7 linked regions of the Callithrix jacchus genome follow. The main gene of each other region encodes a partner of the protein of the gene in region 6 in a complex. Links are inferred from orthologs where the notes say so. Each region holds a gene or a part of one and is shown on either strand. Other genes may lie near its edges. The genes, in order: PPP1R7, PHACTR1, WDR82, TOX4, CDCA2, PPP1CA and RB1.

Region 1 (4,154 bases), on a different chromosome or scaffold from region 6:
AAATCATTTTTCTTTGTTTTTTTTTTTAGATGGAGTCTGGCACTGTTGCCCAGGCTGGGGTGCAATGGCACGATCTCCACTGCAAGCTCCACTTCCTGGGTTCAAGTGATTCTTCTGCCTGAGCCTCCCGAGTAGCTGGGACTACAGGTGCGCACCACCATGCCCCCCTGATTGTTGTATTTTTAGTAGAGATGGGGTTTCACCATGTTGACCAGGATGGTCTCAATCTCTTGACCTAGTGATCCACCCACCTCAGCCTCTCAAAGTACTGGGATTATAGGCGCCAGCCACTGCGCCCGGTCCATTTTTCCTTTTTGTAACGTTATTCACGACCTCTTCTGGAAGTCTGTCTGGAAAACACGAGGCACTAACGCATTACTTGGAATTATCAACCACACTGAAAATACTCTCTCCTGACTATGGTTTATCTACAAAGAGATGTGCTCTTTGAGGGAGAGAGTTCAATTTCATCTTTGTATTTCCTGCTTAGCCTAGTAGCAAAGTAAAACCCAAGAAAGAATTGCTGAATAAAACAAATCCTTATAAAACCGACCTCCAAAACCTCCAGATCCATCTCTTCTTCCCTACCCTGGCAATGACAGTGGCTCAGTTACCTATTAGCTGCGGCCTGGGCTCCTGGCCTGCCTCCTAACTCGTCTCTCTGTTAACCCATTCTCCATTGCCAGAGAGGCTGATCTAATTCTAGAATCCAAATCTGATCTTTGAGTCCCAAAGTATTTCTAGAATGCTCTTTCTGAGTTTGCATCTTGCTGCTGGAGATGCAGCTTTGGCAAATCATTTCCATTTCAGAGCCTCAATCTCCTAGTCTGTGGGAGGGAGTTAGTGTAGAACCCACACCTCAGCGAGTTGCTGTCAGGGTTAAATCAGAAAAGGCACAAGAGCGGTCAGCATGTGCATGACATGCAGCAGATGTTTAACTAGGCACAGGGAACTTGGTGGTCCAGGCTTAGGGAGAGAAAGTTCTACTAAGCGACAGGCTGGTGCAGAGACCCCAGGAAGGGGAGGAGGGGTGAGGTTAGGAGAGGCTTAACTAATGAAGGTTAGCCAAAATGAAGGGTCTGGAACATGGGCCAGTGACTCAGAATATAAGAAGATTACTCTGGTGTACTGGGGATGAGGGGCTGGTGAGTAGGGGCAATCCGTCTAGCCTAGAGATGACAAAGGTTTGAGTTAAGGTACAGGCAATGGGAATGGAGGCGGCATCGAAGACTTGGAGATAGTTTTAAAAGTAGAGGTGTCAGAGCTCCTTGACTAATAGGACACGGGTGGGAGTGGGGCAGAGAGAAAAGCCCGGCCTTTATATTTGTCATTTACTAAGACATGGAAACACTTGAAGAGGGAGTGGGAGGACACAAAGAGGCACTTCTTACTTAAAAAGCCTCAAGGGTATAAAAGTCCAAGACCCTTACCACCACCGCCCCCATCCCTATCACATATGACTTGGTCAAACTCTCTTCCACACCCTTTGACTGCAGTTTTCTTCGCCTGGAGTGATTCTTGCTCTTTTCCCTCACCCTATTCCCAACCTCGTCGCCTTCCAGTTATTCTTCAGGCCCCAGCTCAGGGCTGGCCTTGCCACTCCCAAACACGTCAGCCCTTCCTTCTGCACCCACCCTCCTCCCCCAGCTCCACATTCCTCTTCCCTACCACTTTCACAGGAGGCGGTGGCTGTTCTTCGGCGAGCTCTGTAACCCTCACCAAACCGTGGGACCCAAGAGCATTCAAGCACTTGACGACTGCTTCCCAGTTGGCGGTGACTGGGCGTGTGCATGCATGTGCACACGTACCGTACATACATGTATACGACTGTACTGGGTGTGTGCATGCATGTGCACACGTGCCGTACATACATGTATATGACTGTGCTGGGTGTGTGCATGTATGTGCACACGTACCGTACATACATGTATACGACTGTACTGGGTGTGTGCATGCACGTGCACAAGCACCGTACATACATGTATGACTGTCCCTACAAGCATGTATACACACACGTGTATATAACATGCATGTGCACACGCACCGTACATACATGTATACGACTGTACTGGGTGTGTGCATGCATGTGCACACGCACCGTACATACATGTATATGACTGCCCCTACAGGCATGTATACACACACACACGTGTATATAATTTTTTCCAACAAAGTGAATGAGGAGGAAGAAAGTGGAATTTAGTCTTTTGGGAACTATGACAGCTTTGAAAACAAGCATCACCTTCCGAAACTCAATCTTCTGGTTCCTCGTTACCCCTTCGCAACAGTCCATTCGATTTCAAGAGGAGACCCTTCTCCACCCTCGCCACGTGAACCAAGGAGCAAACTACGGTGGGTCCCAGCGCCCGGAGCCTCAGTTTCCTCGTCAGCTGACCGAGGACGCTCCCCCGCCGGTCAATCTCAGAGGCTCGGGGCGAGGCTCCAACTGGACTGAATGGAGCCGCCGCGTCCCATTCAGCCCCACCCCCGGCCTGGCCTCGCGCCGCCGCTCTCCCCCCAGCCGCTGCCGCCCTCGAGCCAGGGCTCCCTGAAGTCGAGCCTCCCCCGCTCCCCCCGGGTCCGGCTGTCAGCTGTCAGGGGGCCGCGAGGCGGAGACCGGAGGTGGGGCGTGGAGTTTCTTTCAGGCACGGAGCAGTTCCGGCCCGCAGCTCCCCCCGCCCGCCGGGCCTTTGGGCCGCCGCCCGCAGGGGCCGCTCACCCTCCATCATCTCCTGCGACTGTTGCTGCCCCGCGCCGCGTTCCGCCGCCATGTTGGCTGCTCTTCCCCTTTCCGGAATCTGTCGCCTCAGGTCCCTCAACCAATCAGGGCTCCCGCCTCAGAGTCGGTCCAACCAATGGGATTCCGGCGCGGCGGCTCCAGCAGCGGCGCGCCTGCGCGGGCCCAGCTCCTCATGGGAGTTGTAGTTCTTTCATGAGGCCGCGCGCCGTGCCTCCCCCGGGGCAGGTAATTTAAGGCAGCGGAGCCGGAGCAATCTGGAGGCGAGAAACTGGGAAGGAGAGCAGGGGGAGTCGAAGCGGGACACACAGAGCCGAGGCTGCCAGCGGATGGAGAGGACGTCGAGGGAGAGTGCAGAGACGCCCTGGGCTCGAGGATTGACTTATGTCCCTGTCCCGACCTCGGAGACGTGGAGGGGCCGCGGGCCAGGCGGATCTCTCCGTGGCTGCAATTTGCGGGCCGGTCCCCCTGGCCTCTGCGAGCCTCGCTGGCTGCGTCTGTACAATGGGCCGAACGGCAAAAGCAACAACATTCTCCCGGCGTCCCCGCGCGGATTTTACCCGTGCGAAAGGCCGCCTTTTTCTGACGCTCAGAGCAGCCGGGTAGGTGCGGGGCACTTGCGCTGGTGGGGCCGCCAGCCGGCTGGCCGGTTCTGGGGCTCCAGCTGGGCTCCCCTTGTAAGCCGTTCCCATCCCAGCGCGGACGAGAAGCTGCAGTCTTCGTCTATCCCGCGGAGCCTCCGGGCCCGTAAGCAAGCCGCCCCGCGTCCGCTGACTTCAGAAAGAGGCCGCCAAGGGGCCAGCTCTGCGCTACTCACCCTTTTTGATCCCGAGACCGGAGGAAACCGTATCTGCCCGGCGGGGGGGGGGGGGCGGGGGCGGGGGCGCCCATTCCTTTTGGGTCCTCCGAAGCGCCGTAGGAGGTGTCTGCTGCGTCCCTAGCAACCGTTAGCGCGGGCTTCTGGGCTGCAGTTCTCTTAGTCCCGCCCACAAGCACAAGTGGTTGGTCCTTGAAGCTTGTCAATCGGCGCGAGTCGCTGTGCGATTGGCCGGTGGGATAGAAGCGCGGATGGGCTCCCTTCCGCGGTGTGAAGCCTGCTCGGGGTGACCCTCGCCTGACCCAGGTGAGATCCTGCGCCGGGGAGAGCCAGCTGCGCTCCGCAGTCTCCCGAGGGCCGCTATGGGGCCTGCGCTGCTCTCAGGCGAGCCAGACTCCGGGTCTCCGGCCCCTGCGCCCCTCGCTCACCGCCGAACCTGCGTCCTTTCCGTGCTCAGGTCGCGGCGGGGTTGCGGCCGTTGGCCTCGGGCCCCGCGCCCCCTGCGTCTTCGGGGCTCCTGTGTAGCCTGCCCCGCGGGAGCCGCCGTCCCGCGCCTCGGTCGCATCCTCTGGGACTATGCGCTCTCTTTGCCGCCGCCTA
Region 2 (4,120 bases), on a different chromosome or scaffold from region 6:
CAGAATGAACATGAAGCTCTCTCTTATCATGCTGATATGGGCAGAACTTTTTACAGATAAGAAATATCAAAGATGATAGAGGGGTAGAACTGGAGTGAGCAGAAGCCTCTTGTAATATAGTAATCTAATATACTCAGCTGATCATTGACCCTGTTACCTGTGAGGCAACTGTACATGTAGAATTTGCCCAGTTGGAGGAGAGACTAGCAAAGAACTGCATTTTATGGGAGAGGGAGTCATAGGGAATTGTGAAATTAGCTTTGAGGAAGTTCCTAGAAACAACGATAATGACAGTGCATTCTTTAACTGACACTATTCTGGTAGGCTGGAAAAGAGGACGAGCGTGTGACTCAGAGTAGGCTGGAAAGAACACAGATTTGGGGGCAGACACACCTGGCTGTAAACATCTGTATCTCCATGTATGCTTTGCATCAAAGTCACCGAGGGAGATTGTTAAAGGGACAGATTCCTAGACACTGCACTGACCTACTAAACCAGAATATCAGGATTTGGGGCTCTGTAATCTATATTTTTAAAATAAGTACAGAAGGTGATTGTGATATGGGGCTTCTCTAAGCCTTGGTTCTCTAAAAGGTGATAGAGGATTGTTGTGTGAATGGTGGTTTATTGGAAATAGTGTGATTTTAATAAGGCAAATCCATGGCTGAAGAATAATAATTACAAGTTATTGAGCCTTGATTTGTTCTGCATGATTTGTTAAGACACTATTCTCCCTGCAATCCCAGCTACTTAGGAAACTGTGGCAGGAGCATCGCTTGAGCCCAAGAGTTCGAGGCTGCATTGAATTGTGATTATGCCACAGCACTCTAGCCTGGGCGACAGAGTGAGAGCCCATCTCTAAAAACAATTTAAAAGAAAAATAAAAAGAAAAAACACTGTTCTCCCTTTGGAAATCCTGGTGGATGACGCTTTGTTAAGCCTTAATCACTGTGCTAAAACAGCTGGAGAGTATTTGGCCAAATTAGGCGAGAATCCCAAACTCGCAAATTGTTCTGAGTCTTGATAAAATCAGCATTTCTTTTTCTTAATGACCCTGGCGTTAAATCTTCTTTCGGGTCGGAGCATTTCTATGGGAGGTGAAAACATCAATTATGTTGTAACAGGTTGTCTGCTCCAGTGAAAGTCAAGGGCTGCGGGTTGGACCCGCCGGAGAAGGGTAATTTCTTGTGGCCCCGGAGGGGCGCTTGCACCCGAGGGCTCCCGGCGCAGCACTTCCACTGCGAAACATTTTGCTTTCATTCGGCAGCTTTAGGCGTGAAGAAAAGGGGGAGGGGGTTGGCGTTCCGCCCTGGAGCTCTTGAGAGTGAAGGTAGCTGCAAACCCAGCTGGTTCTCAGTAGCTGGTGCTGAGATTTCCGGAGGGGTGGGGCGGCCAGAGGAGGATGTGCACGTGGGGCCCGGGGAGAGGTGGGAGTGGAGCGTCTCAGGTGTGACCGAGGAGCGCCCTGCGCACCCGCTCCTCTGGCCTTGGGATTCGGATTGGCTCCGGCAGCGAGGTCTGCGAGGTCAAGACCCTTTCGGCGCCCTCCCGGACCCGCCCCGCCGCGGCGGCGTAAATGTAGAGCAGCTGGCGCAGGCGGGGCGGGGGCATGCTGGCGGGGCAGAGGGGTGCGAGTGGCAGCGCGCGGGGGTCGGAGCAGTGCCCGACCCCGGGCGCCTGGGGACCGGATGGCGGAGCCCACGCGCTCAGCGAAACCCAGGAGGTTTGCGCTCCGCTTGCGGCGCTGCAGGGAAGGCGCGGTGCCAGGCGCGAGTGCCGAGAAATCCAAAAAGAAAGCTTTTTATTTGCTGAGGATGAAGCCCCTGAAGGAGCCCGCCCCCAACAACAACAACAACGTGTCCTTTGTGATCCACTGTCAACTAGGCAAGGAGATTAAACACATTTGCAGCAACTGCAGTCGCGGTGAGGACGCCCGGGACGGTGAGTGTCGGGGCCCGTCGGGGCGACGGCAGCGGTGGGCGCTGGAGGCGGGGAGGTGGCTCCGTCTCAGTTTGGGGGCCCCGCCGGCGTATGCCGCCTGGAGAACTGTGGGGACATCCGCTCTCCACCCAGACATGACACCCGCCCGCTGGGCACCTTGCAGAGTGCCACCCACGAGCCCAACCCGGGCTCGCACCCTGCATTTCCCATTGACGTATGTGGTCCCCAAAATGAGGGTTTTGATACACTTAAAAGAGCAAGTCGGATTTTCACTTGGGAAGCTGAGGTTTAGGGGATTTGCTGGGGGCAAAGGATCTTATTCCTGCTTTTTCTTTCCATGAGCTTCTTAACTGTTGCCCCATGCTGGTCATACGTTGGGATACAGGGTTTGCTGGGCTGCGTTACGGACGTGGGCTTCCTTCGGGTGGCATCAGTTTGGAGAGGCGGCTTGGCGGCGGCGCCCAGCGCCCTAGAGACTTGTGGAGTTGTTGAATGATGCCTGTTTAGAGTAAAACATGGCTGTGATTTTTGGAGCGCGGCTGCTGGTCCCTGCTGGAATGATGCCCAAAGGCCAAAATGGGGAGAGGTGGGGGAAGGGGCGCGCAGCGGCATTTTCCAGGTGAGCTTGGGCGTGTGCGAGCCAGAGCTCTGGCAATCCAATCTGAAGCAAGACAGTGAAGGGATAACCGGCTGCCAGCGACTCTGGGCGGAAGGAGCCCAGAGCCTGGGACAGCCGGCGCGGCCCAGGCAGGAGCCTCTGCAGCTGTGGACGCACCTGTGTGGCAGAGCATTCGCGCAAGCCTCCAGGCGGTTCCCGAGCAGCTCACAGAACAGGCTCTTCAGGGCCGCTGGAGGTCATGGAAAAGTTTTAGGCAGCAGATTTTGCATTGAAAGCCTTAGGTACTGGCCGGCCTGGTGCTCATCTCCATGCCTGACCCGCACACCTGCTTGGGCAGGCAGATTTTTCCCATCAGCCAGGCAGGTTTTGCTGTTCCTTTTGGAAGAACAAACATTACCTAGGATCCTTCCCATTCTTAGTCTGCCTCTGAAGTGCAGAGTAATGAAATGACTGTGACTTGGCTAATGTCTTTTCAAAATTAGAGTCCTACTAGCGTCATTATCGTTTTCTTTGATTAAACTTCAAGAGAGACTGTGCAGGACAGCACCGGATATTCAAGAGGAAAACTGGGATGGGACTGGAGGAAGGTGCCCACACAAAACACAAGAACGCCACTGCTGATAGATGGGGTGGGGAGTGGGGTAGGGTGGGGATATGTTTCTGAGAGGCACATACTGACAGGTGTTTCGATTTTTGTGATTACTACATCAGCTGATAACGTCAATACCTATGGAATACAAATGGGTTAATCAGATGACCCAAAGCCAGACCTTTCCCATGTAATGAAATAGAGCTTGAGATGCAGGCTAAAATGTTTATTAAAATGTTTATTAAATGTCGGTTGCTCTCTTGACTGAATTGCTGCCCAAATGGGCTGCCTTCACAACCTTGGGAGTTTATTTAAATTAGTATCTGTAAATGCTGCTACAGTAAGGAAAGGTAAATGTCCATACTCAAAATGTGTTGACAAATGTCATTATGAGTGCCATCACTGGTCAACGCGGTGTTCCCTGTCAATGGAGGCAGGTACGTATTTTAACCTATAGCACATAGTTCTTGAAACATGCATCATCTCCATGGCCTCACACACTTCGGAATGTTCCAAGTAGCTATGTATGGATGCTCACATATCACCTGATAGGATTATTTACCCTCAAAGCATTCTTCAACGGGGAAGACAATGTTGTAGTGCCTAATTTTATGCTGCTAATCCTGCCAATCTAATGTGCGGTGCACTCATTTAATCACGAAAATTGAATGAGGTCAGGAGTCTAACCCTTCTTTTGTTATTGCCAGAAACCACAGCAGCACTGCCCACTGTGGAAGTTCGAATAAATTTCACTTCTGGCAAGGATTGGCCTCCCGTGATAGTCTGTAAGGAGTGGATGTTCTTTTAGATAAATTCTCTAGAAGCAATTTGCAATTTGAATCATATTTTCTACATGCCAGGAGCACCAGCTGTTTTAAAACATTTGTATGCTCGAGATCATTGTGAGGCAAACAGATTTCCCCAATGTCCTATTTTGTCAGGCTCTATAGAAGAAGGTGCTGCTTAAGGTG
Region 3 (4,251 bases), on a different chromosome or scaffold from region 6:
TGCCTGTAATCGCAGCTACTCAGGAGGCAGGAGAATTGCCTGAACCCAGGAGTCGGAGGTTGTGGTGAGCCGAGATTGCGCCATTGCACTCCAACCTGGGTAAAAAGAGCAAACCTCCGTCTCAAAAAAAAAAAAAAAAAAAAAAGGGTTGGGGGGAGGCACACAGTATATATAAATATTTACATGCAGTAATGAAGCAAATGCAGAAAATGTAACCAGTTATTGAATCATATGGCAGTTCTCTGAAACACTTGCAAATTTCTATGTTTGTAATTACATAAAAATGCTACATGAGTGAATAAACTGCCTGATGTCACAAAATTGGCATTTTACTCTTAACAAGACAGGACTTGGCCAGGTACAGTGGCTCATGCCTGTAATCCCAGCACTTTGGAAGGCTGAGGAGGGTGGATCACCTGAGGTCAGGAGTTCAAGACCAGCCTGGCCAATGAGGTGAAACCCATCTCTACTAAAAACACAAAAATTAGCAGGCCATGGTGGCGGACACCTGTAATCCCAGCTATTCAGGAGGCTGAGGCAGGAGAATCGCTTGAATCCAGTAGGCGATAGTTTCAGTAAGCCAAGATCATGCCACTGCACTCCAGCCTGGGCGACAGAGGGAGACTGTCTCAAAAAAAAACCAGACCAGACTCATGTCAAGGTTATACTTCCCAAAGAGAAATTATGCCAAATTTGGGGACAAACTGCAAAGAAATGCTATCACAACCTTCATTTTCTTTAAATGAGGATATATGATCTCCATCCTCATATTCTGGGAAGAGGTCCTAATCTGTGCATAAGCACTAAACGTTTCATGCAAGCCAGCTTCAAATTACTACTCCAGGACTCCACAACTCCAGCTACTACCATACCTTTAAATGTTACTTCCTCTTCTAAACTGATTCAAGTGACCAGACCAGGACAGAAATCTATCTACTAAATGAGTAACACTGACTCAAACTATTTGCCCAGCTAACAATTCCCTCCTCAAGACCACCCTGCCACATACTGCAAGCAGATCCAGAGCCAGTTACATAACACTTTTTCACAGCCCCAGTGGGAAAAAACTGGGGGTGGGGGGGGGATACCACTATAGCTCAGTCCAAACTAGTGTTACCTCAGATAATCAAATTCACAAATGAAAAGACACGTTCCAAAAGACACCAGGGGGGGAAAAAAAAAAAAAGCAAAAGAAACAGCTGGAGAAGGTAGAAAAAAACCCAAGATCTCAAAAAAACAAGATGTGTTACTAAGTAACAAAATCAAGTCTGACAAAACCAGGGGCCACCGATTTAAACCAAACATCAGCAAGCCTTCATGGGGAAGGGGGCTGAGGGTAAAACGAATTTAATCTAAGCTAGTTTTGGCTCCAAGGAGCTGCAAGTCCACAGGCGTGCGGTGAGGGGGCTGCCAGGGACCCCCCAGGGAAAAAGGCAAAGTGCCGTGCTTAGGTTTTGTGAAAAGATGCAGGTGTGGTGGGTCTCCAGATGACTTGCGGCAACATAGAAATGTCATGGTCAGAATTGGAATTCAAAGTGGACCAACATATTTAATAATAATTTTTAAAAAAGGATGAAAGGAAACCCAAAAATGTTCTACGATGCTTGCTTTGTTTTAACGGAAGCTCACATTCAGGTCAGGATGGGACGACCAAGTTTGTTTGTATGTGGCAAAAAGGAAGTTTTAGATGCTGCTGAGAAGTTCACTTAAGAACGTGGGCACCGATTCTGACGGAGTAAGAGAGAGCCTAGGAACAGGAAGAAAATGCAAGGGGGCTCAAAGAGGCACAACAAATAAATCCTGACAGCTAAGAACTGCAACCCACGCGGCCTGACGGCAGAAAGGTCGCAAGAAGCTGAGGGGCAGGGGATGGGCGGAGTGCCAGGGAGGAATCGAGGTCACAGCGGAGAGGGCAGAAGAGAGAGCTGCCGAAGGAGTCAGGAGAGCCGCCCCTGCAGTCCTGCGACGAGGACGGAGACGACCAGCACCTTAGAGAACCTGAGGAGCTGAAAACGCTACCTGCTGGGCCCGGGGTGGGCAGACCGGGCGTTTAAAGGTCAAGGTCAAGGTGGGGCTTGGCAAGCGATGCATAGCGCTTTAAGGAGACCTTAGACATACAAATAATAATGCCATTATTATGACTATCACAATTTTTTTTTTTTTTTTCAGAAGAAAAAATAAAAGGTCTCCTGGACGGCTGCGGGGTGAAGGTGGCCCTGGCAGGAACGCGTGCAAAATAGACCGGGGACTGAAGTCGAGACGGAGGGCGGGCAGAGGGACCAGTGCTGGGCCACCGGAGGGAGGGAGGGAGGGACTGAGACCCGGGCCCAGGGCCTCCGCCTCACTCACTTGCCCTCCTGGCAGTCATAGAGCACGATGGAGTCGTCGTCGCTGCTCGAGATGACCGTCTCGCCGTTGGGGCTGAAATCGAAGCAGTTAATCTTGTCCGAGTTTTCGCGGAACACCTTAGCGACGCGGAAGCTCCGCAGCACGCTGTCGGTCAGCTTCATGGCGGCGGCAGGGGAAGGCAGCGGCGGCGCAGGGCCGGGGCGGGGCCCGGCGGCGAGCGGGCGGGCTGCCGAGGGGCCAACCAGGCGGGGCCGGCGCCGCGCCGGCGGCTAGCGGGAAGTCGGCCGACAGTTGGGCCGCCTCCTCCCCTTCCTCCTGCTTGGACAACAGTCTTCTGCCTGGACTGTGGAGCCTCGCCGATCTTTGGTCCTCACAGCCACCTCAGGGGCAACTAGCGCGTAGCCGGCTCATTGTGTCCGCCATCTTGGGGCGACAGGCAGAAGCGGAGGGCGAGGAGCTTTAGCCGCGGCGCACGTCGGGAAAGGGGGCGGGGCGGGAACAGCCGCGCGAGGCGGGGAGGCGGGGCGGTGACGTCAGCGCTGCCGCTGTCGAGTGTAGTGGCTCGGCGGGCTGCTGGGAGGGAAGGGTCGGGACGTGCAGGGCCTTCCCCAGGGTGTCGGAAGGTGGCGAGTGCCTGGGAGCCGGGGGCCCTTGCGCGGGCTTGCAACATCCCCCTACGAAGGCTCGGGTGTCCCCTACAGGCGCCCCAACCGCAAGCCGCGCGGAAGGGGTGCTTTGGGGTCGGGAACGCGGCTGGAAGCCGGTTTTGGGGGTGAATCAGGTGAACCGCTCGCAGGCGGTCTTGACCGCTACTCCACCGCAGCGCCCGCTTAGACAGCTTCGACCTCTTTACTATTTTATTGGGCTGTGATATACAATAGAGTGCACAATTTTTTTTTTTCAATGAGACGGAGTCTCGCTCTGTCGCCTAGGCTGGAGTGTATTGGTCTTATCTCCGCTCACTGCAACCTCTGCCTCCGGGGTTCAAGCAATTCTCTGACCTCAGCCTCCCGAGTAGCTGGGACTACAGGCGTGTGCCACCATGCCCAGCTAATTTTTTTTTATTTTTAGTAGAGATGGGGTTTCACCATGTCAGTCAGACTGGTCTCGAACTCCTGACCTCAGGTAATCCAACAGCCTCAGCCTCCCAAAGTGCTGGGATTACAGGCATGAACCACTGCTCCCGGCTTCATAACTTTTCTTTTTGAGAAGGAGTCTCACTCTGTCCCCCAGGTGAGTGCAGTGGCAAGATCTCAGTTCACTGCAACCTCCACCTCCCAGGTACAAACGATTCTCCTGCCTCAGCCTCCTGAGTAGCTGGGACTACAGGCTCTCACCACTACACCCAGCTAATTTTTGTATTTTTAGTAGAGATGGGGTTTTGTCATATTGGCCAGGCTGGTCTCGAACTCCCGACCTAAGGTGATCTGCCAGCCTGGGCCTCCCAAAGTGCTGGAATTATAGGCATGAGCCACTGTTCCCAGCCAGAGGATACAGTTTTAAATTCGAATTTCTTCTTCTCTTCATATATATGCATATAAACCTTATAGATGCAACCCTCGCCCCTTTTAGTGTTAAATCTTACACATTTTTCCATGTTAGTAAACCGGATTGTTGTTGGTGTTCTTGTTTTTTGATATGGAGTCTCACTCTTGTCACCCAGACTGGAGTGCCATGGCATGATCTCAGCTCACTGCAACCTCTGTGCTATAGCTGGAACCTGAGCAACACCATTTTAGAAAAGACAAAGCTGTTTTTCAAAAATAAGTTGTAACGGCTGCCCCATTCTCCTCACAATGACTGCTAACCTTGGCTTCTGTAAATAAAACTGCTTACCTTTTCTTTCTTTTTTTTTTTTTTGAGATGGAGTTTCGCTCTTGTTACCCAGGCTGGAGTGCAATG
Region 4 (3,500 bases), on a different chromosome or scaffold from region 6:
GCCCAGGTTGGTCTCGAACTCATAGGCTCAAGCAATCCTCCTGCCCTGGCCTCTCAAAATGCTAGGATTAAAGGCATGAGCAACCACACATAGTCTATTAATAATTTTTAAATAGGTTTTCTGGAGTCAGTATATAGCTGCAACTTCTAAGACAAAGGATGATATGTGTCATTAACAAACAGCTGGTACTAGGTAAGAACATGTAAGAAAAAGGAAAACCTCAGTTTTTATCTCTTTAAAAACTTCTGGAACAGGCTGGGCACGGTGGCTCAGTTTGGGAGGCCAAGATGGGCAGATCACGCGGTCAGGAGTTTGAGAACAAGCCTGGCCAACATGGTGAAACCTCGTCGATACTGAAAATACAAAAATTAGCTGGGCGTGATGGCACGTACCTGTAATCCCAGCTACTCGGGAGGCTGAGGGAGAATCGCCTGAACCTGGGAGGTGGAGGTTGCAGTGATCCAAGATCATGCTACTGCACTCCACTCTGGGTGACAGATCGAGACTACATCTCAAAAATAACAAAAAACAACAAAAAATTCTGGAACATTCACTACTAGTTTCTCAATATTTGCTCACCTGTTTTTGTTCCTCTCCAAGACTATCCCACATGGAGGCTACAATTTTTGAAACCTCGCCAAAAGTGGCATTAGGATTCTGTCCCTTGATGGCAGCCTGTGTATCACGAAAGAATAAAGCATACGCTGAAACTGGTTTCTGAGGTTCATTAGGATCTTTCTTTTTTCTCTTCTTTGGGGCCTTCTGCTTTTTCCCTGTCTCCACCACCACTGTCTTCTGGGTGGGAAGTTGCTGTAGGGGAGAAAAGAGAGAGAATTACATAATGGACAATGAGAAGTATTATGTCTGGAAACTAGCTAACGTACAGCATTTTCAGAAATGCTAAAAATTGTGGTAATAGCATTAAAAGACATTAGTCAAGTATGGTGAACCAATAAGAATAGGAATTGAGAGGAGAATTATAAACTGGGAATTGGGAGGTGGAACCCCATACCCAGAAAAGAGCAGAGGAGATGCCAGGGCAGGGGTAAAGAATACTCATTAGGCTCTGTATGTCAAGAGTTTTATCCTAGACTATCACGGCAGAGTTGATTTTGACAGGGAATGCCTCACCCTCCGGAAATCCTCAACACCATCCTCCTGAAGTGAACTAGTAGGTGAAGGGGTGGTTGAAAGACGATCTTCAGGTGACTGGGCAGGTGGCAGGATGGTGCCACCCCCTAAGCTCAAACCCAGTTGGGAACTCAGTTCTGACTGATCAATGGTGGTCAACTGGCTATGCCCCATCAAGCCAGATGTCATGTCTGTCATTGGTACATCAATTGTAACAGGTGGGTTGGCACTATACTGAGTTCCTATAGAATGGTCCAAATCCTGAGAGAAGCAGAAGGACTAATTAAACATTAAATATAAAAAAAACCACTTTCCCCCCTGAATATAGGACATCTTATAAATTTCCTGCCTACCTAGACTGTATCATTTAAACTACAAAACATCAAATAACTTGTCTTCATATAAAACAAATTAAGCAAAAACAAAAATATTTTTAAAAACTAAGCTTTTTTAAAAAGTACAGAAATTAATGAATTTATTTCTCTGCACTCAAAAGAAGAAATAAAAATAATCAGAAGTCATACCGTTGGATAAGTTAAAGAGCAATCAACTTATTCAGTAATCTATAGGTAGTGACAACACACTGAGTAAAGAAAACCTTCCTGTCTGTACCCTCCCAAAAGCTTTTAAAATTGCAATATACAGGCAATCAGCATAAATAAGCCCATTATTACAGAAATTTGGCATCAAATACAGAGTATGAAGATGTTCTACTGCTGAGATGTGCTGGAAGCCCAGCATACTGATTTATATCACATACTAATCCACAATTAATACTCTATTTGGCTCAGACCTTTAAAAAAAAAAAGCACTATTCTTTCTGCTAGCTTCTCAACATGGTTCAGACCATTTCTGAATAAATCCCTCCATGTGTCAGCTATCACACTCAAATTTGAATCCTAGGATTTAAAGGCCATAATAAAAGCAGAAAACATTTTTTTCAAAAACCACAATAATTTTCAAACCAGACATTGTACAATTTTAAATTATTTTTCAAGTAAAATCTACCTACATGGTAAATTTCATTTACTCAAGTGAAATTAAATCTTAGTTGGTGAGCCTTTAGCCACAAGAATGAGAAACAAGTAATACCCAAGTGGAGTACGGAATAAAGAGTAACTTTTGTCTCCTCTAATGCCATGCCCATTAGCTGGGGTAAGCCTGACAATGTCTTGCCCCTTACCATGGTCAAGCCCCCACTCAGGAGCCCCCCGCCCTGCTCCATCAAGCCATGGGTCATGCCCACAGGCATGTCCAATGTCTGGACCCCATACTGGGCTGAAAAACTGCCATCCTGTGAAGAGGAAGGGTCTGCCAGGTCATCAAAGTGGCCAACCACATCTGAGACAGCCAATGAGGGATCAGAGTCCAAGGAGATAGGTGGGATTTCAAATTCTTCATCACCCAAGCTTGGTGTATGGAATGTCTGTAGAAGAAAAAAGGGGGAAGAGAATTCGTGAAAAGAGGAGAAATGGCATACAGCAAGTGAACGTATTAGGGTATTTGAGATTCTCAGGGTACATTTTTTCTGCTTAGGATCCTATTTTGTAATCGATTTCTTAGAACCTATTTAATTTTACAAATCTCTCTTCTTTCTAATACTCTTGGTCATATGATACATTCAAGGCAGCTAACAGCCACAATTTTCAATTCTGTTTTTTTTTTTTTTGAGACGGAATCTCGCTCTATCACCCAGTGGCATGATCTCAACTCATTGCAACCTCCACCTCCCAGGTTCAAGTGATTCTCCTGCCTCAGCCTCCTGAGTAGCTGGGATTATAGGCACGTGCCACCACGCCAGGCTAATTTTTGTATTTTGAGTAGAGATGGGGTTTCACCATGTTGACCAGGCTGGTCTTGAACTCCTGACCTCAAGTGATCCACCTGCCTTGGCCTCCCAAAGTGCTGGGATTATAGGCATGAGCCATTGCGCCTGGCAATTTTCAATTCTTGTATCTCTTTTCTACCATTACCATCTCTGTTGCCCTAAATTATGCCTATTGTTCTAATGAATAATTCTTTCAGTACCATTACTTAGATATAGCCTTTATAACTTGTTTATCTATGATCCTTGACATCTCTCTAAAGATTCTCATAGAGAACAGTTAGTTTCACAATTATTACACCTAAACTGTTAGGCCACAGAAATTCATCGTTAGCCAGCCAATTATACTTTGTTGTTTTAGGTTCCTTTCAAATGGATGCTAAAATGTACTGTCATGGGAACTTTATCCCCCTCTAACGTATTTGCACTTAGAGTTTCCTACCTCTTCTCCACTTTAGAAATTATAATGTTAACAACAGAAATTATAATGTTAACAACAAATAGATTCCCATTTGTATAGGATTTTCAGAAGACCTCAACAATG
Region 5 (3,500 bases), on a different chromosome or scaffold from region 6:
TGGGCACAGTGGCTCATGACCATAATCCCAGCATGATCATGAGGTGGGCAGATCATGAGTCAGGAGTTTGAGACCAGCCTGACCAACATGGTGAAACCCTGTCTCTACTAAAAATACAAAAATTAGCCCGGGAGTGGTGGCACATGCCTGTAATCTCAGCTACTCAGGAGACTGAGGGAGGAGAATCACTTGAACCTGGGAGGCAGAGGTTGCAGTGAGCTGAGATTGCACCACTGTACTCCAGCCTGGGCAACAGAGCACGACTCCATGTCAAATAAATAAAATAACAGTTGTCATCATACATTTAAAATGTGAGGTACTGTATTAGACACGCAAAAGTATTTTAGTATATCTTTGCATGTTTTAGGTTCTGAAAAAACTCAATTCTAATAATTAAATGTATTCTTTTTCAATAGGCATGTTCCATTCCTTTCAGTTAGATTTTCTTTTTTTTGCTATAAAAAATTGTGCTAGATTTTTCTTTTCATTGATAATTTAGACTCAGGCACTAGATTTTACTAGACTTAGGCTCTTAGATTGTAAGAAAAGTATGATGATGCACAATGGCCGGGCATGGTGGCTCATGTTTGTAATCCCAGCACTTTGGGAGGTTGAGGCGGGTGGTTCACCTGAGGTCAAGAGTTGAAGACCAGCCTGACTAACACAGTGAAACCCCATCTGTACTAAAAACAAAAAATTAGCTGGGCCTGGTGGTGTTAACCTATAATCTCAGCTGCTTGGGAGACTGAGGCAGGAGAATCGCTTAAACCCAGGAGGCGGAGGTTGCAGTGAACCGAGATCACACCATTGCACTCCAGCTTGGGCAACAATAGCGAAACTCCGTCTGACACACACACACACACACAATATATATATACACACACACTATATCTATATCTATCTACACACACACATATATGCATATGTATATATGTGTGTGTATGTATGAAAACATTTATGCCTGTGTCATTTTGTTTTTGTTTTGTGTTTATAGCCGGAAAGGCAGGTCTTAGAGCATGCCAGCAGTCTGGGTTCCCTGCAGTGTTGGCCTCCAAACGTCGGAGGATATCCTGTCAGAGGGACTCTGATGAAAATCTAAGGGATGCTGAAGGAAAAGCAATTGATCTCCAGATACTCAGTATTGATACAGACAGAGGATGTGCAGTTGAAACTTCTGCAGATCTTTCCGAGGTAATTCACTTAACTTTACACATAGGAGAAGGAAGTGTTGGTTTTCTGCATAGGCAGTTTTAAAGCTTTCAGTGCTGTTCTTCAATTTACTACCTCGTTCTGCCCTGTGGTAGCTAGATGGGTGAGTGGTGGTGTGTGTGTGTGTGTATGTGTGTGTGTGTGTGTGTATGTATGTGTTTCCCACCTGTTAATTTTATGATTACCTCGTTCTGCTCTGTGGTAGCTGGGGTGTGTGTATGTGTGTGTGTGTGTGTGCGTGTTTACTACTTGTTAATTTTATGGTTGGTTGTTGGTATCTATCACTTCTTAGAAAGCGTTTGGATAGAGATCTCACTTTTGACTACTAACCTTATGAAGAGAATAAGCCCTGTGGTCTTCTGTGTGTGAGATATTCTATAGGGTGATGCTCCAAGAAGGCAGGAAGTCACAGTCCTGCCCTCAGGCAGTATTTTTTCTCCTGGGGAGTGGGTTATAAGCAGATGGTTTCAGTGGAGCTGGTGGATCAGGTGGAGATTATATGTGGGGTGTACTCCGCAGGTCTGGGAGTCTTGCGCTTCTTCCTGGCCCTTACTGCTTTCCTACTGACTGGAATTCAGGGTGCCATTCAGCAATTGCTCCTTTGCACTGCTCACTTCTTTCAAGTAGCTCTAGGGAATTTTGTGGCTTATAACTACCTAAACCCTGTCAAGATGATTAAAAGGTGATATTAGGAGAAAAATAATACTAAGTGAAGATCAGGCGGCCTTCACGCACGTGTGAACAGGGAGCTAGGCTTTCATGATGGGCTTTTCCTGCTTCACGTTCCTCGTTCTGGTTTGACACAGTAGCTTCTCATGTCCTTTGTGAGAGGAGACACCTAACACCATTACAGTTGGAACGCTTTCTGTACCTTCTCTGTCGCTTAGATCCAGTGCTCATCCTCTTCACTGGATGTGGACTGGTGGAATAAAGGTTCGATAGTAGTTAAGAGATTCTTCAGGTTCCAGTGGGTTTCCTTTGTATCTCAGTCACCTGTAATCTTGGCTCCCTTTGCCTTATTCAGGTTAATGTGAAATCCCCATCTGACAGAAACAATGGTAATTGTTTGTAAGCAGAGCTTTGGTTAATTGTTTGAACATACATCATGATTCAGACATTATTTCTGAGTTAGTGTGAATGTGTTTTTATCTTAGCCTTCAATGGCTTTCGTATCTTAGTTATTGATGATGTTTGGCTTTTGATTAATAATTAGATAAACTTGTCTTTATTTTGAGAATTTTCTCTAAAGAACTGTAGATACAACTGTCTAGGCTTTAACAACAAAAATAGGTCCTTTAAACGTTTCCTGGGGAATTAAAAGTTGATTTGTGGGATGTTTAGGATGCAATTAGTATGAATACTTCATTGTTAGATTCCTGTATGCTTTGAGTTTTTGAGATAATGAAGGTGGCTGATTGAATACCAAATTTCCAGGTAATCTATAATGTTTACTCAAATCTTCAAAAAGGTATTAGTAGTACTGTAAGTAATAAAATGTAATAGTCTTTCAATGTTTCCTCAAGAAATCGTCTAAACCTGGTTCAACACAGTCTGGATTTTTCGTGGAAGAGTCTCTTCCCCTTTCAGAGCTCACAGAGATTTCAAATGGTAAGTATTTAACTTTTTCTTAGTACACATCCAGTTGCCTGATTCATAGACATTTATGATTAGTGTACCTATTTGCTAACATTTAGGGGAACTGAAATGGTTCCCTACTTTTTAGGATCTTATGGCCCACGAGACATGCTTCCGAATTCTTGTAATATGAGGGATATCCTCTTTTTTAAGCTACCATCACTAAGAGTTAGTGAAGTATTTACAAGCTCATGAAATTTAGTATAAAGAGGCAGGACCTATGAATATATTAACAAGTATTCTTTGTTAGAGAAACACTACTCATAGTATTTTTATTTGTTTTTACGCATGTAAAAAGAGTTTTATCAGGATGTAATAATTACTTATTACTTCTTAAAATCAGTATGCTTGTACTGAGTGAACCCTAGCAAGGGTTTAGATTGACTTTTATTCTATTTGGGTCTTCAAAGTAAAGCTCTTATGGGCATATAATTGGATCTTGTGTTTTTTTAAATCCATTTTGATAATTTATTTTTGATTGGAATATTTAGCCTCTTAACTTTTCAAGTAATTACTTAGATGGTTTTATTCACATCTGTCATTTTATAGTATGTTTTCTATTCCTACTTATTGCTCTGTAACCTTTCATGGTCTATTTAGGTAATACTGTACAATTTCACACGGAAACTTTACGAACTCTACAGATGAATTTCCTC
Region 6 (4,111 bases):
TCTCTCTGTCACCCAAGCTGGAGTGCAGTGGCGCCATCTCAGCTCACTGCAACCTCTGCCTCCTGGTTCAAGTGATTCTCCTGCCTCAGCCTCCTGAGTAGCTGGAACCACAGGCACGTACCACCATGCCCAGCTAATTTTTTGTATTTTTAGTAGAGACGGGGTTTCACTGTGTTAGCCAGGATGGTCTCAATTTCCTGACCTTGTGATCTGCCTGCCTTAACCTCCCAAAGTGCTGGGCTTACAGGTGTGAGCCACGGTGCCTGGCCAATTTTTGTGTTTTGTGTTGAGACGAGGTTTCGCCATGTTGCCCAGGCTGGGCGCAAGAGATCATTATGCCTCAGCCTCCCAAAGTGCTGGAATTACAGGCCTGAGCCACGATGGCCAGCCCACCTCCAGTTTTGAGGTTACTGGTGTGTAAAGCACCCAACTCAGGGTTCCAACAGTAATTACGGTTCATGTAATGTCTACTCTTTATAATTCTTTTTACGTGCACACCCTGCAATATTACTGTGCTACTCAAAGCTTATTATGGGGCCAGGTGTGATGGCTCAGGCCTGTGATCCCAGCCTGGCTAGCATGGAAACTCCCCGTCTAATAAAAATACAAAAATTAGCGGGCGCGGTGACATCCGCCTGTAGTCCCTGTTACTCTGGAGGCTGAGGCATTGTCATCGCTTTAACCCAAGAGGGGAAGGTTGCATTAAACCAAGGTCGCGCCACTGCCTTCCAGCCTGTGGGACAGAGCAAAACCCGCCTCAAAAAAAAAAAGCTAATTATGGGACTTATAAGAAAATATTAATTTAGCATGCCCCAAGGACCAAAGTGCGCTGGGAATTCTAGCTGTCTTTGAGTGTGGTCAGCCGCCTGGGGGCCACGGAGACCCACGAGGAAGGGGGTCCTCGGTGCAAGCGAGGTCCAGGTCTTGAACCAGCCTGTCGCTATGTCTTGAACCTCAGTTTCCCTTTCTGCATTTGGAGAAGTTAACCCTCAGTGCGGGGCAGCCGGTTATTAACGTGTTCACGACACCCTCCACCCAGGGCAGGGGTGGGAAGGGCTGTTCAGCTTTTGAAAGAGAAAAACAACTTCCACATTCCTTCCGGCCCCACATCCTCGAAACGGAGCTGGGCGCCTCCTCTCGGGCGTAACTAGCCTCGGCCCCGCCCCCGACAGACACCGCCCCCAGCCCGCCGCCGAGGCCCCGCCCCCTGGGCCTCCGCGCCTCACATCCAGCGGGGGCGCTAGAGCGCGGGGGGCCGGGCAGGGCGGGCCCGGGAGGCCCGGAGGCGGAGCGGCGGGCCGGGGGCGGACTGGGGCGGGCGGAAGGAGAGCCAGGCCGGAAGGAGGCAGCCGGAGGGCGGGAGACGGGAGCGGGCCCGGAGCTGCTGGACTGGAGCGGCGGCGCCGCCATGTCCGACAGCGAGAAGCTCAACCTGGACTCGATCATCGGGCGCCTGCTGGAAGGTTGGCCGGGGTGGGGAAGGTCCGCGTCCGCCGCGCCCTGGACCCCTGCCCAGCCCGGAAGTGGCGCGCGGGCGGGCCCCCGGGGCCAGCTTAGACTGGGCGGGGACGCGCCGCGAGGTTCCGTGGCCGCAGCCGCCCCCCCCCGCGGACGCGCCTGAGAGGTCCGGGGCCGGCTTCGAGGCGCGGAGCAGCCCCCTCTCCCCGGCCGGGGGCTCACGGGTTGCCTCGGCTCTTGGGGCGAGGGAGAAACCCGGGAAGCCCGGTCCAGGGAGGTGTCTTGCGCTGTGAGGTTTTGGGCGGCAGCCCCCTGCGCACGACAGTCGCCTCCCGAGCCTTTGAGGATAACTAGGGGGGCTTCCCTTGGGAGGCTTGAGGCCGACGTCCCAGGAGGCTCAGCAGCAACAGCTGCCTCTGGGCAAGGAGGGGCCGAGGAGGCCTAGGCGCCCCCGGAGGTATCCACGGGGCCACCGTGTCGCCCACCCTCCCCCTGTCTGAGAGGCCAGGGTCCTGACTCCGCATTGCGCCCCCAGTGCAGGGCTCGCGGCCTGGCAAGAATGTACAGCTGACAGAGAACGAGATCCGCGGTCTGTGCCTGAAATCCCGGGAGATTTTCCTGAGCCAGCCCATTCTCCTGGAGCTGGAGGCACCCCTCAAGATCTGCGGTGAGCAGCCCCCAGCCTCGCCCAGGCCCCTTTGGCTTCCTAAAAGTGGCACTGGCCCCCACAAAGTTCCTGGAGCCCTCCTCCCTTGAGCCTAGTCCTGGCCCTGGGTTCAAGTCTAGACCCAGCATCTAGCTTACTCGGTTCCATGGGTCACAGGTGACATCCACGGCCAGTACTACGACCTTCTGCGACTATTTGAGTATGGGGGCTTCCCTCCGGAGAGCAACTATCTCTTTCTGGGGGACTATGTGGACAGGGGCAAGCAGTCCTTGGAGACCATCTGCCTGCTGCTGGCCTACAAGATCAAGTACCCCGAGAACTTCTTCCTGCTCCGTGGGAACCACGAGTGTGCCAGCATCAACCGCATCTATGGTTTCTACGATGAGTGTGAGTGGTCTGAGCACCCAGGGTTGCCCGGGTCCCGAAACGCTCCTTGCTATTCAGTGGGACCCTCACATTGGCTTCGTATCTGACAGACACTTGCTAGACTGTGCGCTCCACGAAGGCAGGGCCCGCTCCATTCTCGTGCCTGCCCTGCCCTGCCTGGCACGGGGTCTGGGGCATGGTTGCTGACTGGAAGGCTGCTGGTATTCTGGTGCTTGCTCCCAGGGCCCTGCCTGGTGAGGCTCCACTTACATCTGCTACTAAGCACTTAGGATGTGTTTGCAGATGGGCTCAGCTGTCCAGAAGCTGAGATAAACCAGACCTGTACTTGGCCCAGCTTATGGGTGGGGGTGTTTGGGGAGTGCCAGCCCTGAGGCCGGTCCAGATTGGAACTCAGTTTTCATTGGACTTGGGTGCTTTAGAATTACTTCTGGCAGGAAGATCACTTGGACCCAGGAGCTCCAAGTTACAGTGAGCTATGATCTCGCCACTGCACTCCAGCTGACCCTGGGTGACAGAGCAAGACTGTTTAATTAAAAGTTAAAATAAAAAGTAAAGAGAATAGTTCCTGGAAGGCTGATAGGCTGCAGGGGCAGGAGTGGGGACAGGGGCAGGGTGCAGGGTGGTTTGCCTCCAAGCCTCTCTCCTCCCATCTGCGTCTGAATAGCCCAGGGACCCAGGTGGAGGGTGGGGTAGGCGGGCCCCTCACAGCCATCTCCTGGGCAGGCAAGAGACGCTACAACATCAAACTGTGGAAAACCTTCACGGACTGCTTTAACTGCCTGCCCATCGCAGCCATCGTGGATGAAAAGATCTTCTGCTGCCACGGAGGTGAGGGAGGGGACGGCTGGGGACAAGGAGACCTGGCCGCATCCCCCATTGCCGGGCCAGCTCTCCTTAGGTCTGTCTCATCTGGGAAGTCACTCCTTCTGGGAAGTGTCTCCCATACCCCTGTGCCGGGCTGCGCTGACTCCCTTGTGCATCCTACATGGAATAGGCTTGGCTTGTCTATCTCCCGGGAGCTCTGCGCTCCTGAGGGCGGGGACATCTTTGTGCCTCTTTGGGAACCTGCAAAAGCTGAGGGGAAGGGGATGACTTCTGCCGCCTGGGTGCCCAGGTGACCTGTGGAGGAATCAAGGGGGCAGTGGGAAAGGTGAGGCTGATTGGCCACAGCTTCCTGGAGTGAGGATGTCCTTGTTTGAGGATGTGGACTTCCCCCGGTCCCCCAGGCTTGTCCCCAGACCTGCAATCCATGGAGCAGATCCGGCGTATCATGCGGCCCACAGACGTGCCTGACCAGGGCCTGCTGTGTGACCTACTGTGGTCTGACCCTGACAAGGACGTGCAAGGCTGGGGCGAGAACGACCGTGGCGTGTCTTTTACCTTCGGAGCCGAGGTGGTGGCCAAGTTCCTGCACAAGCACGACTTGGACCTCATCTGCCGGGCGCACCAGGTGGGCTGGCAGCTCTGGCCTGGGGTGGGAGAAAGGGAGGCCAGTGCCAGCATGCAGAACTGACTGCTCTGGTCTGCACCCAGGTGGTAGAAGATGGCTATGAGTTCTTTGCCAAGAGGCAGCTGGTGACACTTTTCTCAGCTCCCAAC
Region 7 (4,104 bases), on a different chromosome or scaffold from region 6:
AGCTGCTACAGGATGAGGGGATTTACATCAGAGCACAACTGTAGTCTATTCACAGCACAAATCATCTCATTCCTTCTCAGTTGGTGAGTTCTGAGTGGGCAATAACTGTCTACCAGAGATAAAAACATGTACTCAAATTCAATAATCTATTTATATAAATACCAAGACACAGAAGCGATAGTTTTAAGCCAATATGGTAGTCCCAACAAGCTTTTTAATGTCTTTGTGCCTTTGCACATGCGCCTTCTCTGTTTTCTTCATCAAAATAATGTAATGGACAAACGGAATCAAATACAGTTGAGTTTAAATCCTCTGCTACCCATCTGCCATGATACTGGGCAAATTAACTTCTCTGAGCCTGTTTCCCTGTCTGCAACGTAACTAGCTAATACTACCCATTAGAAAGGACTGTTTCTTAGTTAATGCATGCCGGGCTTAAAACCTAGACGATGGATTGATAGGTGCAGCAAACCACCATGGCATACGTTTGCCTATGTAACAAAGGTAAACGTTCTGCACTTGTATCCTAGAACTTGAAGTTAAAGAAAAAAAAAAAAAAGCTGTTTCTGGGGATTAATTATGTAAGGCGATCTGCACAGTTCCTGGTACACAGTAAATGTCAGGCCTGTCTGGCAAACTTCTATTCAACAACTACTGCTCCTCCGAAAATCTCCCTTAAATGTTTCCACGGTGCTTCCCGTTTTTACACCACTGAGAAGATCTTTTATTACATTAATTCTGTGTTCATTTCCCACAGATCCCTCCCCTTTCCCTAACCAGTGATCCCCTAAAGGCCAGCAACTGTCTAACATTTTGCATCTTCTAGTGACTAGTAAAGTTCAGCACCTATTAGCGCTCCAAGTTTGTTTTAGTTTTGGCCGACTTTGCTAAATCGACTGGGCAGGAGGAGACGGCGGACACCGCCCAGGGAGGCAAAGGTGCGCGCCCGCTGAGGGTGCACTCGCCAGATACTCCCCGCGGGGCCCGAGCGCCTTCCGTGTCAGACCCCGGGATAGGGACCCGGCCCACAGTCCTCCGCTGAACTATTTGTATAGCCCTGTTAAGGACACCCCAGCCTGGAGGGGGTGGTTTCGAGTGGAAACACGTCCGGGCCGCGCCGGATGCCTCCCGGAAGGCGCTTGGACCCACGCCGGGTTTCCCAGTTTATCCCTCACGACCTAGCGCTCCAGCCTGCGAACCGCCCAGCGCCCCAGTGCCCCACAGACTCCCGCGGGCCCGGGAAGCCTCGCGGACGTGACGCCGCGGGCGGAAGTGACGTTTTCGCGCGGTTGGACGCGGCGTTCAGTTGCCGGGCGGGGGAAGGCGCGTCCGGTTTTTCTCTGGGGACGTTGAAATTATTTTTGTAACGGGAGTCGGGAGAGGACGGGGCGTGCCCCGACGTGCGCACGCGTCGCCCTCCCCGGCATTCCTCCACAGCTAGCTGCCTCCAGCCGCGGGAAGGCGTCATGCCGCCCAAAACGCCCCGAAAAGCCGCCGCCGCCGCCGCCGCTGCCGTGGAACCCCCAGCGCCGCCGCCTCAGTCTTCTCCTGAGGAGGACCCAGAGCAGGACAGCGGCCCGGAGGACCTGCCTCTGGTCAGGTGAGCGAGCAGAGCAGCCGCCGCCTCACGCGGGAAGGGTGCCCCGGGGGTGCGGCAATCGGGCGGGCGCAGAGGTGGCTCGGCTGGACGCATTCTTGCCGGCGGCCAGGTCCTGGCGGGAGGAAACGCCCTCCCTGCCCCCAGCCACTGCTGAGCGTCTGCAGAATGGTAACAGGGTTCTGGGGTCGCGGGCTAGGGGTCTCGGCTTCAGCTTGACAGGTGTCGGCGGGTGGGATTAGGGTCCTAAGTGAAGTGACAGGTGCAGTTTTCTCGTGAGGCGGAGGCTCGGAGGCGGAGGGTCGTTGGGAGCGTCCATCAGACGTGAAAAATAAAAATACAAAAATGACTGGTATCTGTGGGAGAGTTTTTCACCGTTTAAGATCTGGAGTACTCCAGTGGTCATTTGACTTTCTGTTTTAGTCTTACGCGATGCAACAGTTGGGAAGTATTTTCTTCTAGGCGTGCATTGCATCGGAAACCCAGTCGTGGGAGAGCCCAACCAAAGAGCCTTGGACGACAAGCGCAGGGTCCCGAGTGTCCATTGCCTACAGGGTACTCCGCTCGGGAGCTTTCCGGGTTTCCTTAGAACAATGCGTCGAGGCCTTGGGGACTCAAAGCCATCTGTAGTGACTATGGGGGCATAACTCTTCAGAGGAACTGATACATGGGCAAAACTTTCGTGAGACATTTACCAGAAGTACTTGAAAGTTTCTAAACTTTTTTTTTCCTGTTGGACGAAGTCTTCTTGTGCGTTGGTCGGCTTCAGCTTGTCTCGTTATTTCTTCCATTTTGCCTTTTGCCTTTGAGCCAGCAAGGATCCTGGTGTCCCCTCTTTTTGTCTTTGCTTTTGGCACAAAATTAGTGGTTCTGTGCTCACATGGAAATTTTCTTTTTCCCTTACTAAGTGAAATCGAAATTTAAGCAAGTCCATGTGGATGCACTAGAACTTGAAGGAAAGTGTTTATTGTATTGCAACTTCTTTTCTTTTTCATCACTGGTTCTACTTTGAGACTACAGGTTCATTGCAGGGGAATGGGAGTTGTTTTTGTTTTTCACTATTTTCTCACCCTTTTTCGTCTATCACCAAATCCTTTCACCCTCACTCACTTTTTACACTCGGTAGACACTAACAGAATTCACAGCGTAAAAGATTGAAATGGGATTTAGAAATGGCCCGTGGAAGGCTATTAAAAATTTATATATTTAAATGAAATGTCTTATAGGTCATTTAAAAACCATATTCGTTAAAAAACAAAACAAAAAATTAAAAACCACATCTGGGGCATGTTCTGAGAAAAGACATGACTTTACTTTCTGATTAAATTCTGATATGTCCAATTCTTCCAAAGTTCCCTTGGGAAAATGCAGTAATGGCTACTCTAAAGAATTCCATGTTATGCACATAGCTTTGGAAGCATACTCTAATGTAGGGTAGCTAGAATATTGAGGTTCTGGCTACTGTTTGGAAAAAAGAGGATTGTGTTTCTTTCATTTTTTAACTCATTATTTTATATATTTTAAGTAATGGAACCATAAAAAATTATCTTGTAAGTCAAAACCATGCAAGATACAGTCTGTTCTTGTTTATCTGTACCCACCGAGGGTTTAATTAACATAGACAGTTAAACTCTAAATGAGCAAGGGTAGAACCACTAACCTGCAGTCTGATGCTGAGCAGCATCTTGCCTGGAGATGGAATCAGGGCTCACTCCAACTGCCCTTCTAGTGACAGATTCCATTTCTAATTTGAGAGTTGAGATCTTATTTCTGTTGCCTTATCTCTGGCCTAAGTAATGTAGCTGGAAGGGAAACTCATTAGGAATAGCATACCACCTTCATTGTTGAAATAGTAGAAGGTTTTGAGCTGGATGTGATGGCATGTACCTGTAGTCCGTACTACTCAGGAGGCTGAGTCAGGAGGATCGCTTCAGCTTGGGAGTTGGAGACCATCCTGGGCAACAAAGACCCCAGTCTTTAAAAAAAACAAACAAAAAAGCTGACCAGGCATGTTGGCTCACACCTGTAATGCCAGCACTTTGGGAGGCTGAGGTGGAAAGATTGGTTGAGGCCAGGATTTTGAGAGGAGCTTGGGCAACAAAACAAGACCCTGTCTCTACAAAAATTTTTTAAAATATTAGCCAGTCATGTGGCATGCCTGTAGTCCCATCTACTCAGGAGGCTGAGGTGGGAGGATCCCTTGAGCTCAGGAGTTTACGGCTGCAGTGAGCTATGATTTTACCACTGCATTCTAGCCTGGGTGACAGAGTGACACCCGAACTCAAAAAAAAAAAAAAAAAAAAAAGAAAAGAAAACTAATTATGTTTTGAAGGAGGAATTGGCAGTCAAGAATAGTGGTCAGGGACATGGATTATGAAGTTAGACTGTTGGGGTCACATGGTGGTTTACCTCTTACTGGCTGAGACCTCTGATAAGTTCTTTAACTTCTCTGATTTGATAGATATCTGTAAATGTTTACTTTCACAGATGAGAACACTTATCTAAAA

Evidence for each region.
Region 1: the proteins of PPP1CA (region 6) and PPP1R7 are in contact, whole or in part, in a crystal structure (PDB 8U5G), measured with the Homo sapiens proteins. The link is inferred for Callithrix jacchus from reciprocal best matches to the Homo sapiens genes PPP1CA and PPP1R7. Residues at the interface, in NP_002699.1 of Homo sapiens: Arg23, Pro24, Leu40, Arg43, Arg96, Gly97, Lys98, Ala128, Ser129, Ile130, Asn131, Arg132, Ile133, Tyr134, Gly135, Tyr137, Asp138, Lys141, Arg142, Ile146, Lys147, Trp149, Lys150, Asp154, Asn157, Pro192, Thr193, Asp194, Asn271, Cys273; in NP_002703.1 of Homo sapiens: Asn84, His85, Tyr86, Arg87, Arg106, Gln107, Leu109, Tyr128, Asp129, Gln131, Asp148, Ser150, Phe151, Phe170, Val172, Glu192, Gly194, Ser195, Phe214, Gly216, Lys217, Ser236, Gln238, Ser239, Tyr258, His261, Ser283, Glu300, Trp302, Asn304.
Region 2: the proteins of PPP1CA (region 6) and PHACTR1 are in contact, whole or in part, in a crystal structure (PDB 6ZEG), measured with the Homo sapiens proteins. The link is inferred for Callithrix jacchus from reciprocal best matches to the Homo sapiens genes PPP1CA and PHACTR1. Residues at the interface, in NP_002699.1 of Homo sapiens: Pro24, Arg43, Gln68, Tyr70, Asp71, Arg74, Tyr78, Arg96, Gly97, Lys98, Ala128, Ser129, Arg132, Ile133, Tyr134, Gly135, Tyr137, Asp138, Trp149, Lys150, Thr153, Asp154, Asn157, Lys168, Ile169, Met190, Arg191, Pro192, Thr193, Asp194; in NP_001309240.1 of Homo sapiens: Arg424, Lys425, Ile426, Leu427, Ile428, Arg429, Phe430, Ser431, Asp432, Tyr433, Val434, Glu435, Val436, Ala437, Asp438, Ala439, Gln440, Tyr442, Asp443, Arg444, Arg445, Ala446, Lys448, Pro449, Trp450, Leu453, Lys458, Ile461, Arg462, Glu464.
Region 3: PPP1CA (region 6) and WDR82 share a complex: the UniProt entries of both Homo sapiens proteins name them as parts of the PNUTS-PP1 phosphatase complex. The link is inferred for Callithrix jacchus from reciprocal best matches to the Homo sapiens genes PPP1CA and WDR82.
Region 4: PPP1CA (region 6) and TOX4 share a complex: the UniProt entries of both Homo sapiens proteins name them as parts of the PNUTS-PP1 phosphatase complex. The link is inferred for Callithrix jacchus from reciprocal best matches to the Homo sapiens genes PPP1CA and TOX4.
Region 5: the proteins of PPP1CA (region 6) and CDCA2 are in contact, whole or in part, in a crystal structure (PDB 5IOH), measured with the Homo sapiens proteins. The link is inferred for Callithrix jacchus from reciprocal best matches to the Homo sapiens genes PPP1CA and CDCA2. Residues at the interface, in NP_002699.1 of Homo sapiens: Gln20, Gly21, Ser22, Pro24, Tyr70, Asp71, Leu73, Arg74, Glu77, Tyr78, Asp166, Lys168, Ile169, Asp242, Leu243, Tyr255, Phe257, Arg261, Pro270, Ser284, Glu287, Thr288, Leu289, Met290, Cys291, Ser292, Phe293, Gln294, Ile295, Leu296; in NP_689775.2 of Homo sapiens: Lys391, Arg392, Val393, Thr394, Phe395, Gly396, Asp398, Leu399, Ser400, Pro401, Glu402, Val403, Phe404, Asp405, Glu406, Ser407, Leu408, Pro409, Ala410, Asn411, Leu414, Gly417, Gly418, Thr419, Pro420, Val421, Lys423.
Region 7: the proteins of PPP1CA (region 6) and RB1 are in contact, whole or in part, in a crystal structure (PDB 3N5U), measured with the Homo sapiens proteins. The link is inferred for Callithrix jacchus from reciprocal best matches to the Homo sapiens genes PPP1CA and RB1. Residues at the interface, in NP_002699.1 of Homo sapiens: Lys168, Ile169, Asp242, Leu243, Phe257, Arg261, Met283, Thr288, Leu289, Met290, Cys291, Ser292, Phe293; in NP_000312.2 of Homo sapiens: Lys873, Lys874, Leu875, Arg876, Phe877, Asp878, Ile879.

What each region holds. Positions count from the first base shown.
Region 1 is NC_133507.1:162,429,369-162,433,522, reverse strand, and holds the start of PPP1R7 (protein phosphatase 1 regulatory subunit 7), read right to left. Parts: upstream 2,801-4,154; 5' UTR 2,772-2,800; coding exon 2,720-2,771; intron 1-2,719. UniProt on the Homo sapiens protein: Regulatory subunit of protein phosphatase 1.
Region 2 is NC_133505.1:17,700,343-17,704,462, reverse strand, and holds the start of PHACTR1 (phosphatase and actin regulator 1), read left to right. Parts: upstream 1-1,320; 5' UTR 1,321-1,688; coding exon 1,689-1,941; intron 1,942-4,120. UniProt on the Homo sapiens protein: Binds actin monomers (G actin) and plays a role in multiple processes including the regulation of actin cytoskeleton dynamics, actin stress fibers formation, cell motility and survival, formation of tubules by endothelial cells, and regulation of PPP1CA activity.
Region 3 is NC_133516.1:34,802,070-34,806,320, forward strand, and holds the start of WDR82 (WD repeat-containing protein 82), read right to left. Parts: upstream 2,801-4,251; 5' UTR 2,511-2,800; coding exon 2,350-2,510; intron 1-2,349. UniProt on the Homo sapiens protein: Regulatory component of the SET1/COMPASS complex implicated in the tethering of this complex to transcriptional start sites of active genes.
Region 4 is NC_133509.1:55,990,333-55,993,832, reverse strand, and holds part of TOX4 (TOX high mobility group box family member 4), read right to left. Parts: intron 2,558-3,500; coding exon 2,315-2,557; intron 1,393-2,314; coding exon 1,132-1,392; intron 811-1,131; coding exon 580-810; intron 1-579. UniProt on the Homo sapiens protein: Transcription factor that modulates cell fate reprogramming from the somatic state to the pluripotent and neuronal fate. In liver, controls the expression of hormone-regulated gluconeogenic genes such as G6PC1 and PCK1.
Region 5 is NC_133514.1:16,048,636-16,052,135, reverse strand, and holds part of CDCA2 (cell division cycle-associated protein 2), read left to right. Parts: intron 1-994; coding exon 995-1,191; intron 1,192-2,732; coding exon 2,733-2,817; intron 2,818-3,500. UniProt on the Homo sapiens protein: Regulator of chromosome structure during mitosis required for condensin-depleted chromosomes to retain their compact architecture through anaphase.
Region 6 is NC_133511.1:124,477,355-124,481,465, reverse strand, and holds the start of PPP1CA (serine/threonine-protein phosphatase PP1-alpha catalytic subunit), read left to right. Parts: upstream 1-1,311; 5' UTR 1,312-1,408; coding exon 1,409-1,463; intron 1,464-1,993; coding exon 1,994-2,125; intron 2,126-2,281; coding exon 2,282-2,512; intron 2,513-3,235; coding exon 3,236-3,340; intron 3,341-3,738; coding exon 3,739-3,962; intron 3,963-4,045; coding exon 4,046-4,111. UniProt on the Homo sapiens protein: Protein phosphatase that associates with over 200 regulatory proteins to form highly specific holoenzymes which dephosphorylate hundreds of biological targets.
Region 7 is NC_133502.1:67,638,881-67,642,984, reverse strand, and holds the start of RB1 (retinoblastoma-associated protein), read left to right. Parts: upstream 1-1,304; 5' UTR 1,305-1,466; coding exon 1,467-1,600; intron 1,601-4,104. UniProt on the Homo sapiens protein: Tumor suppressor that is a key regulator of the G1/S transition of the cell cycle. The hypophosphorylated form binds transcription regulators of the E2F family, preventing transcription of E2F-responsive genes.